Schizosaccharomyces pombe: one gene and its partners. Changing the gene in region 3 together with the main gene of any one other region gives a genetic interaction. Each region holds a gene or a part of one and is shown on either strand. Other genes may lie near its edges.

What was found.
Region 1: mutations in fsv1 (region 3) and aut12 together harm fitness more than expected from each alone (negative genetic interaction), as found in Schizosaccharomyces pombe (one large-scale study listed by BioGRID).
Region 2: mutations in fsv1 (region 3) and dim1 together harm fitness more than expected from each alone (negative genetic interaction), as found in Schizosaccharomyces pombe (one large-scale study listed by BioGRID).

The regions. Positions count from the first base shown.
Region 1 is NC_003424.3:641,686-645,444, reverse strand, and holds aut12 (autophagy associated protein Aut12), read left to right. Parts: upstream 1-1,906; 5' UTR 1,907-1,932; coding exon 1,933-3,227; intron 3,228-3,313; coding exon 3,314-3,560; 3' UTR 3,561-3,600; downstream 3,601-3,759. Other genes in the region: chaperonin-containing T-complex beta subunit Cct2, read right to left, coding at 1-516, 564-695, 732-734.
Region 2 is NC_003421.2:877,145-880,636, reverse strand, and holds dim1 (U4/U6 x U5 tri-snRNP complex subunit Dim1), read left to right. Parts: upstream 1-1,965; 5' UTR 1,966-2,002; coding exon 2,003-2,037; intron 2,038-2,048; exon of another isoform or gene 2,049-2,087; coding exon 2,088-2,113; exon of another isoform or gene 2,114-2,194; coding exon 2,195-2,235; exon of another isoform or gene 2,236-2,318; coding exon 2,319-2,429; exon of another isoform or gene 2,430-2,482; coding exon 2,483-2,698; 3' UTR 2,699-2,833; downstream 2,834-3,492. Other genes in the region: gpi10 (pig-B family GPI synthesis protein), read left to right, coding at 1-990; sorting nexin Snx12, read right to left, coding at 2,997-3,492. UniProt on the Schizosaccharomyces pombe protein: Plays a fundamental role as a protein essential for entry into mitosis (G2/M progression) as well as for chromosome segregation during mitosis. May play a role in mitotic spindle formation and/or function.
Region 3 is NC_003424.3:1,312,618-1,316,376, forward strand, and holds fsv1 (SNARE Stx8), read right to left. Parts: upstream 1,864-3,759; 5' UTR 1,848-1,863; coding exon 1,104-1,847; 3' UTR 619-1,103; downstream 1-618. Other genes in the region: DNA-binding transcription factor, glucose starvation sensing, Rst2, read left to right, coding at 1-66; tvp15 (COPI-coated vesicle-associated protein), read left to right, coding at 3,482-3,759. UniProt on the Schizosaccharomyces pombe protein: Involved in vesicle-mediated protein transport between the Golgi and the vacuole.

The DNA of each region.
Region 1 (3,759 bases), 670 kb from region 3:
ATTGAGAATAAATCCCTCATCAAGGAAGGAGTCATCAAGTTTACCACCAAGGATCTTAATAATTTGAATGTTATCCAAGTTCGTGCTACCTTTCAAGCGAAGCACTGCATCAACAGCCAGCTGAGCAAAATGGTTTTTATTCTGAGATAAGATTTTGGAAGACAGAGTAGTTCTGGCAATATTCTCGAGGTCACTACGAAATTTAGCAGGATCACTAGAATTATCAATAGAGGAAGCACGAAGAGCATCGATAGCAGTTTTAGTAGCAATACGATAACCATCGATAATCACTTGAGGATGTATTTTTGCATTGACCATAATTTCTGCTTGACGAAGAAGTTCAGCAGCGAAGACACACACACTGGTAGTACCGTCGCCAACTTCATCATCTTGGACTTTTGAGATATTCACTAAAACTTTAGCAGCTGCATTATCCAAAGCTATAGACTTAAGAATGGTAGCACCGTCATTTGTCACAACAATATCACCCGAAGAGTTTGATTGTAAAATTTTGTCCTATAAATCGTTAATTAAAAATTTTTTCTATGTAGATTTGACCTTACCATTCCCTTAGGACCTAAAGTGCTTTTTACCAAATCGCCCACAGCAATTGCACCCACAAACGATGAAAGACGGGCATTTTCACCCCGCTCTTGGATGCCACTTTCGTTAAAAATCTGATGAGGATTTAAAGACTATATCGTTAGTACGGTTTTTACACATGATATTACCATTTCCAGATAGTGTACGATAAACCCAGAGTTGCGGTGGTTGAGTGGAAAGTAGCTTACAGCGAACAAGAAGCTCGTCGCAACAACGTAAGCCGTAGCTTACCAGGCATGTACCAGCGACTGTATATTTCTAGTTTTGGATCGTAAATAATATTATAATCAAATATTTTTATAATATATATATTTCATTCTCTTACGTTCATATTCATGCAAAAGAAAATAATGAGACAGCTTTTAAGCATTGCTATATAAAACACTATTCTATTACTCTCAAATATAAAATATCAAAAAATTAAAAGATTTCCTATATCTATTCAAGTCTCTATGAAGTTAATACCGACTACTGAGCATGTTCAACAAACTAGATGATGGTTGGCTTAATCGAGTGTTTTATTATTGCTCAAAATGAAATATGAAGCGTCGATTAAAGATTTCAACTGATTTTTTATTTTCGATTCCCTGTATGACTTGTGTTTTCTTACAAGTACTAGACTAATGTTTTTGTTTTGGAGCAATATAGATATTGAAAGAACCAATGCGCAAATCTCAATTCTATTCAATATTAGATGGAACCATCTCGAAAAGTTAGCCAACAAGTTTCTAGATCTTTAAATGTGAATACCATCCTTAGACCTTGAGAAGTCAAGGATAAGCAGCATTTTAGTTGAAACGATAGATCAGTGATCACTCCTAAATAACTCAATATAAACAGTTTGTAGTAATACATCTAGCGCTATATTCTAAGCGCTTTTTAACATTAATTTCTTAACCAAAGAGTATTCTTAGTTTAGAGCGCGTACATTTCATAGAACGTGTAATTATTAGTTTTATTTTAAATTCAGTACTGTTCTCTGTATACAATTGACTTCCATGTAAACGTATCTTGAATGCCATTTAGTTGTAATATGAAATTCTTTGCCGAAGACTCAGCCATTCCAATCTTCCCTTTTGAATTACCTATACAACTAGGTACGAAATCATCTTCGGCACAATATCTTTATGATTGCACCGCAAAGTTGAGTTTCAACATTTATTTAAAGAATCAATAATTATTTTTTATTCAATAAAAAGCAAAATATTTAAAACGCCTTCTTTTCCCTTAATTTTAACCGTAAATGAGTGAATGAAGCGAGGTTAGCATTATTACAACAGCTACAGTCCTCCTTATTCAATCCATCCCACTAATGAAAACAGCCAGTTGATGGAACCAACATCTGAGCATTCATCAATCAAGGAGGAAGTGGAAAATGATAACGTTCATAGATCTCATGAGTCGGAATGTGGATCACTGCTGTTAAACCCTGGTAATGTTCTAATGGCAGCGCCTTCGGTGTCAGAGGATGATCAAGAAGTAAGCAGGTCTACACCAGAATTGCGAAGCCACGTGGAAAACGTTGAACAATTACTTTCTGATATATTGCATGATAATTCCTCTCCGCTTAATGTAAGCACTTCAGTATCGAGCAGTAGTAACAATACGGCTGTTGATGAAATTATAAAACTACTTTCGTTGATATCTTTTGATTTGGCAAAACAAAAGCGCACATATTTGATATTCTCTTCATCAGGGAAGCCCGTGTTTAGTAACATTGTTGATGATTCAATTGAGCCATCAACCGTTGGCGCGTTACAAGCAATTATTAGCTCTTTCGAAGTGTCGAAAGAAGAGCTAACAAGCTTTTCTACCTTTTCCAATGTTATCGTTGTTCTCTCCAAAAATCCTCTTTATCTTGTTGGCGTATCGCCATCGACAACTTTAAGCGCAGCATATTTACTCAGTGAGTTAAACCTCTTATATTGCCAAATACTTACTGGGGTTACTGCGAAAGCTATGCAGCTGACCTTAAACTCCCGCCCAAATTTTGATTTGAGAAGACTTATTGGAAGCAACGAGCAGTTCCTAAAAGAACTATGTGATCAACTTAATGATTATGAATTAGTCCCCACATTGAATGCCATATCTCCTCTTCCTTTACGTTCCTCTTTTCGTGATCAGCTGTCGCAACTGCTGTTGAGAGAAACACCCAAATCTCTGCTGTTTACTTTTATAGCTATACGAGGTCGGCTTGTTTGTATGGTTAAGGCGAAGAAGCTTTTATTACATGCTAATGATCTCTATTTACTTTTCCTATCACTCTTCCGCACACAGTCTTTTAATGATTCAATGGAGCATTGGGTGCCTGTTTGTTTTCCTACTCTAAATCCAGATGCTTATATTTACATTTATAGCTATTTCCTATGTAAGGACACTGTCTTGATAATGGGGAGCAGCGAAAGTGGTGTCTTTTTTGAAATGCAATCAGTGAAATGCAAAGTTGCTCAGGAAATTCAGGATCATGGATGGTTGAAAAAGCTCATTTATTGTGAAGAAATGGATAGAACTACGCCAAGGAATCCCGGATCTCCTTGTATTTCACATTACTTGTTTTATTCAAAGAAATACTCACAGTTTTATACTCCTGGCTATTCATTTTCAACTCCCAATTTCAATACTAGGTACGTATACAATGATCTATTTTTCTTTACAATTTCAATACGATCGCTATCTTTGGGCTCATTTGCTTTGCTAACTATGTTTTTAGAACTCTTTATGCTATTTATGCTAGCTTACACGACCAGGCATTTCACAAAAAAAATTCTTTCTCAATTAATATGACTGTCCATGAATCTTTGCTTCTATTCACGTGGTCAACTGCATCGTTCGACTTTCATTGTATTGCTAACGCTACCACTAGCAGTCAACTGCTTATTGCAAATGTTAATAAGATTTTGAGATGGATACGAAGGGAGGAGAATCGATTATTTATACAAACAAACCTTTCGTTTTGATAATGAGCATGTAAAGTTTAATGAAATTCATTTCTTTTTATTTTTTATGATGTTTTGACAGTAAAATATTTAAAAGAGCGGTGATTGCTTCCAACAGCTTTATTAATTTTTCTTTTTCCTTTTTTTGTTTTAATTTATTAATATCAGCATCATTTTACTCACATAAATTTCCGACTGTATGAACTTAATATCATAGCGA
Region 2 (3,492 bases), on a different chromosome or scaffold from region 3:
GTCGCAGCCTTTGCTTGTTTCATCCGACCTACAAATATACTAGTCTGGATATTCCCACTTTTATTCTGGAACAAAAATCCTCAAACACCCATAAAGGATTTACTCTCGTTTTCCAATGTTTTTAATCGCTTTCGTTTTTTATATGCTCTCGGTTATGGGCGGCTTTTTGGCATATTCGTTTTGTGTGTGTCTTTATTTTTAGTTAATATTATTGCTGATAGAATACTTTACGGTCGTTTTGTCTTTCCCATCATTTCGTTCTTTCAATTTAATGTTACTTCAGGCCTTTCCTCTTTGTATGGATTGAACGCATGGCACTATTACCTTTCTCAAGCCCTCCCATTAATATGCGGAGGATTTCTTCCATTCGTATTACTCACAATGGACCTTCAAACAGCGGGAACCATTCTTTGTGTTTTCTTTCCCTATTCACTGATAGGACATAAAGAACTTCGGTTTGTATACCCAATTTCACCGATTTTACTTACTTTAGCTGGAAAATTTTTTTCATCATTTTCCTCTTGGAAGCGTGCAGCACGGTTTTTCTTCCTTATTGGATTGGGACATGCTCTGGTAATTACATTTTTATGCCGATTTCATCAATTTGGAGTCATGGAAGTTATGCCATTAATACATTCACTTGCTGAAAAAAACCAAACTGGTCTAATACTTGCTCCGTGTCACACTACACCATGGCAGTCGCATATCCATTCACCTTTTGCTGAAAATGGATGGAAGTTCTTGACATGTGAACCGTTCGAAAAGCCCTTTGATGAGACGGATCGTTTTTACGAGAATATGCCTACTTTTCTAGATAAAATTAAAGAATGGCCGGATTATCTGATTTTCTTTGAAGAGCGGTTTTATAGCTTATACAGCTATCTTGACTCCCGAGGGTTGAAGTATGAAGAAGTACAGAGGTATTATAACTCCTTGATTCCTGAAAGTCGAGAGAGAGCTGGAGCTCTGTTAGTGTATAAGAAACTCTAATTACATGATTCTTCATACCCCAAAAATTTCACAGGTCAGCATAATTATCTGCATTTTAACAACTATTGATGTATTTTAAATGAAACCACTGATGACTATTACTTGCTTTGGACAATATTTGGTTTATCCCTAAAACGCCAGCTTGATTTCTAGCTCCCCATTATAAACGATTTGCATTTCTATTATGGTTCGTGGATTATAGAGGGGGCCATATCAAGTCTTCACAGAGCAAGAGGAAGCAACAATTTGTAGACGAATAAAGTAATCCTAAGCCATTTACTATTAAAACTTAAGACATGGGTGGAACACTTATCTTCCCCGAAGCCATTATCATGAATCAACATCATTTTAAAATTTTCAACCTTTGGCGACTTTAACCTTTCAGAAATTTTCTTAAATACAAATTTATAGCATATCCTGCACTCTCCAAACAAATCTGAAAAAGAAAAGTTAGCTTACAACGCGAACACCCAAGTCACTTAAAGAATTTGCAATTGTAATTTTATGCTATGGAGTCGAGAAAAACGCAAAGGTCATTCGTCTATGTTGCGATTGGGACTTGAAAAAATAATTTTATACGGCCTAGCTACGATTCTAAATTAAATTTTTTATAATAGTATTTCACAAAATATTTGGAATATTACGGATACTTTAATTTTTAAACACAGTAAACTGCTTAAACGGTCGGTTTCTAGAATTGTAAAAAATTCTGAATTTCATTGTTTTATTAGATGAAGTATGAATATATATAATTGTAGTAAACACATCAACGATTCAACTAAGCATGTAATGTACGAAAGTAATAGCAATCCCACTTGTGTCAAGAATCTCATAACTTCACTAAATTTATTTACTGAATAGCATTTACACTATTATACGCTTTTTTACGTAGAGTTAAAGCATTGCTACATCCTAACGCGCAAAGTGTATATTGTGTGACTTACATATCTACACTATTCTCGTCTGCTAGAAATTACCAAAATATTGCAATTCAGCAGCTTCAGTTGATATAATGAGTTATTTTTTACCTCATTTACATTCTGGATGGTAAGTTTTTGTGATAGATGGATTTATTCTTCTCTAACTTATGTTTATAGGCACGTTGATCAAGCAATTTTATCAGGTACGCGAACTTTAAGAAACGTAGAATGTTTCTCGTTTCACAACTTCGAATCAGCTTATTAACCTTTTTTTTTATAAATAGAACAAGAGCGCTTGGTTGTCATTCGATTTGGTAGAGATCATGTATGTTCTAATGTCGATATCTACTTGGATTAAGTCTATTTAATATTGTAGGCGGATTAATTTACTAACGCGTAACGGAATAGGATGAAGAATGTATAAAACAAGATGAAGTCCTATACAGAATTGCTGAAAAGGTCGTCAACATGGCTGTCATATATTTAGTGGACATTGACGAAGTTCCTGACTTCAACAAGGTAAGTCTAAGTCTTAGTTGGAAAGTCATGTTGCTAACCTTATTACCATCTAGATGTACGAGCTTTATGACAGAACTACAATAATGTTTTTTTATCGAAACAAACACATGATGATTGACTTAGGTACTGGTAACAATAACAAAATCAACTGGCCGTTAGAAGATAAACAAGAGATGATCGATATTATAGAAACTATTTTTCGTGGTGCTAGAAAAGGTAAAGGTCTTGTTATTTCTCCAAAAGATTACTCTACCCGACATCGCTACTAGAAGCCACCATTTGCTTATGCAAGAAAATGGAGAGGGGATAGAAAAATCATAGTAATTTGATAGTTTTTGGCTAAAATGAAAAAGTCTTTTTGCTTTAATTTTTACGCATAATTTGTACTTCAAATGGTATAACCCTTCTTTTAAAGTCAGTAACAATACAGGATTTGAAATTATCTAGTGGATGAATTGTAATAAAGTATTATCAAATCCTATGAAGAAATTACATTATATGATTAAAGAAAAGCATGAACATGATTACTCTTGCTATGATTTAACAAGAGAGGTAAAAAAGTGACACTCAAGTTGCCTTATTAGTTGATCTAGCGTGTTTCTTTAAAGCCAGCAAAATCTCGTCAAGAAGGGTGTATATAACATGAGCGTTTAGAGATTGGTTTTGGAGAATACGAAATATTCTTTTCACAGCAATATCAGGTGTATAGCCGGGAAACATGGAAGCAAGCAAAATCCCTGCTTCTGCTTTCAATTGATTCCTATCAGCATAAGCTGGCTTTCGCGCCCGTGAATGACGGCGGTCTTTGGAGTGATCATGATTAGATTTACCTTCAAGTCCTCGTCTAAACTCGCGTAACTTCCTATAAATCTTCTCAGGCGTAAACAACTGAAACAGTTGTAGTCGTATACGCTTTTCCAAAGCTCCGCCAAAAAGTTGTTCCAATATCGATATATAAGTTTTTTTCGGTAACCATTGCTGCTTTGCATCGTCATTTGGAGAAAACAATTCGACTAAAAATTCCGAGATGGGACCTGAGAATGACGAGTTAGTGTTAACGTTG
Region 3 (3,759 bases):
TATCCTGTATCCGAAACTTCCGGTTTGCTTACAGATAATAATCGGAATCAACCGCCCTCATTTTAATTTTTTTCATATCTTTATATTTTATACTATTTGTTTCTTAATGAAATGCATCTTTTAGTTTTTTTAAACAAAAATCAACTAGCTTTGATTCGGTTTTTAATTAATTTAAGGATTGATCTGAAGTTTTGAATATTTTGATTTGGGGTTCAATTGTTGATAGGAAAACGATCCTCTTTTACCGAATATTTAATTACGCTAAGATATGCAATGCTGAGAGGTTCACAACACATTAGTTAAGAGGGTTGCTTCTGATATTTTATTATCAAAAAAGGTTCAGCGTGATATGGTTAACAATAGCAACGGAGGCTTTATATTTAAGATGAAAAAAATGGCATTCAAGCACATGTTCCCTTAATTCTCAAGAAAGAATCTACTCGTTCAAACTTTTCCTTAATAATGATAATGATAACATGACTACGTATGTTTAATAATAGAAGAGAATATTTTTTAATGAGATGAAGGAATAATATAGCAAAACTTCTGAAAATAAATTGATACAGCTAATTGAAGATATTGTTGTTTATTGTTTACTGCCCTGAATCTAAAAATTTTGAAAGTCTAATAGGTTATTTATTCAAATGTCAAATAAGGAGTTATTAGCGAAACAAAGTTTGTAACAAATGGTTATTAAGCATTCACTCTGCATGCACTATATTCACTTGATTTAAGTCGTCAAAACTAGCTTTGTGAACAAGGGGGACGGCCCTTAAAAGAACACAAAAATGATTTCGATAAGAAATGCGCTAGCAGAAAAATAATTACTAAAGTAGAAAGACAGTCAATGGTTAGAAACTGGAATGTACGAAAAAGTTAATTTCTGTATTCCCTATAAAGGGAAGGTTCGTTTAGCAAAAGAAGTTGAAGATCACAAAAACATTTTCAAAATCGTAAAAAAAAAGTTCGTAAATATCACGGTTATTAAATATAAATAAAAGAACTATATAGCCTAGTTCAAAGAGGACGTGAAATAAAAGAATTAAGTGAAAGTGTAACAGAGTTACAGCAAGTACAATTGCTAAGTGATATTTATTTGCACCCTAAATGGAAGCCACAAGTAATAACAACGCACAAAGGAGCAAAATAATAAAGCATCTGGGATACTGTTTAGCCTTTCGGCTGACCTTGTTTAATCGATTTTTTGCATGATCAAACCTCCTCTCAATTCGATCAGCATCATTATTCATATTATCTAGTAAAACATTTTGTTCGGACAATTCTGTATTCATTGCATATCCCATCCGCTTTTGCCTTTGGACACTTGCTTCGATCCCTCCTAAAGATTCTTCTTGTTCGTTGAGCATTTGCTGATGCATTTGAGCCAAAACGTTTACGTTTATGGGATCAGGGTCATTGCCATCAACCGGATACATGGCCTCCATCTCAATATCAGATCCCTCACTACTCGAAGTCGTTTTTTGTAAAGAAGGAAGGGGAGTTAACTTATTATTCGTACTTGCAACTTGCGGGTTTGCAGAAAAGGCACTTGTTCCGTCAGCAGGAATTGAGGATGCACGCCGCTGCTTCTCAAACTCTTCCTCAGCAGACTCTAACCTCCTTTGCATTCTAATAAGAAATGCTTCGGATTCTCGTACTCTGTACTCTGGGATTTGTGCATTTTTCTCTAATCGCGATTGCTCCTCATTAAGTTTTTGCAATTCTTGCCGAACATCTTTCAATGAAGACTCAATTTCTTCATCGGGATTCTGTCCAAACTCTTCCAACTTCCTCCTGTCTCTTATTTTTTGTGAAACCGAGTCAATGATCAGAAGCAAATTTGACATAGTCGCTGGTTACTTTCTTGAGTAATCATGTTCATCATGCGCCTAAAAACACAAACATTAGTGAAGTTTACAGTAATACGGTGTAATGCCTTTGCTACCAATTCTAGGTTCAATTACAGTAAATTTTGTTTGCAGCAAAAAAAGAGAATCTTTTCGTATGTTTTAAATAAAAAAAAAAGTAAAAATGATTTGCTCATTAGCTGCCAGATCCATTATAGGCATCCTGTGAAATTATCGTATTATTAGAAACCTACTCGTTATTTACACAATTTTTTGAATGCTTCTTTTCGACTCTTCTGATTGTTTTCGGTATTTATCACAAATTTAGTAGTTCTTATTTCACATCTATTAAAAGGTAATCAAGCAAGGTGTAAGGAAAACTTTTTAATTATTGAAAGTTGGTTTGCGTAGTTTCAAAATTAATCAGATAAATTTATACAGCAAGCCCAGTATAAAAAGGGGCCTAACCAGGATTCGAACCAGGGATCACCTCTAAACTCAGCATACAAGTGGGGATTACCCGAAAGAGGTATGTTAACCACTACACTATTAGGCCTAGGTTTCTCATTACAAAATATTAATATAATATATATATAAAATAATTGCGACATAATAAATGTTAAGTACCTCTTTGCTCTGAAAACTAAAATACCAATAATGACGCTTTTCTTTTCATTAGAAGAGAATGTTTATTAAAGAAATATCTTAAAGAAAAATACTACTTAAATATTTATTTAGGAGTTAGTACACTAATTCCAGAGTATTAAATCCAAGTGTAACAAGGTAGGAGTAACAAATAGTTGTTTAATTACAGACAATTAAGTACAGTAGAAAATTACTCAAATATATACAAGGCTTTGGGCCGTTTAAAACGAATCATGCTGATATCTATATTCGGCTAATCGACTTCTTGCTTTATTCTCAGTTTAAAATGGAGTTTTTTTTTATAGCGTTACGAATTAGAAATAGATGTAGCCGTCTATCAAAGTTGACATTGCACGTGAAATTATCATTATAAACATAATCAAATGAATGGCAAAGCGATCAAAATAAGAAGGAATTTTACTACGTTATAAAACATTCGGCTTTTTATTTTACTTTATTCTTTTTTATTCAGGTGCATCTGATAATAATCGCGTGAAACTTGAGTGCAAAAAATTTTACAGCCCTGTAGATCCCGAGTGAGAGTAGATCACATATAGCTAAAGGAGCTCGTATGAAACTAAGATACAAATACATTTGTTTACGAACGTTTGACAAATATATAAATTGACCCACAGACCTTAAAATTGTCAACAACAGTTGTCTCAAAAAAAAGCCGGGTCGAAAGTACATTATTTACTAAATGATAGTGTTTTTAACTTCAAAAACAGTACAAAGAATGCTATAGAAAACAAAATGCATTTTCGATGAATTGAATTATTCATTTTCTGTAAACAACAAAAAGTTGGTTGAGAATTATGGAATTCGTTATTTTTATTTACCGTATTTCAATAGTTCGTAAATATGCATGACCGCATCGGTAAGCATAGGCAGGCTTAGTAACTTGCATTTCTCTTTGTCTTTAAGCAAACATCGACTAAAATACATATTGCTTGAAAAATTTAATATTGGTTGCATACACTTAATTCACAATGGATAAAACAAAAATGTTTAGTGCCATTAATTTGGGCGTAGGTGGTATCTTCGTTTTAAGCGGATTTATCAAGTTATTTTCATTTAGCTTCGTAAACGCTTTACTTGCATTGTTCATCATCGTTTTCGGTTTGGGAACTATTGGTTTAGAAAAGGAAATTCCTCCTATTGCTATTAAATATGGATCGTTCATGTTCTCATTCTTAGGAAGGGGCTTCTTCTACGCTTTCATGGGTACTTTACTCTTTTCTTACTCCGGGTTTACTTCTTTCCTAGG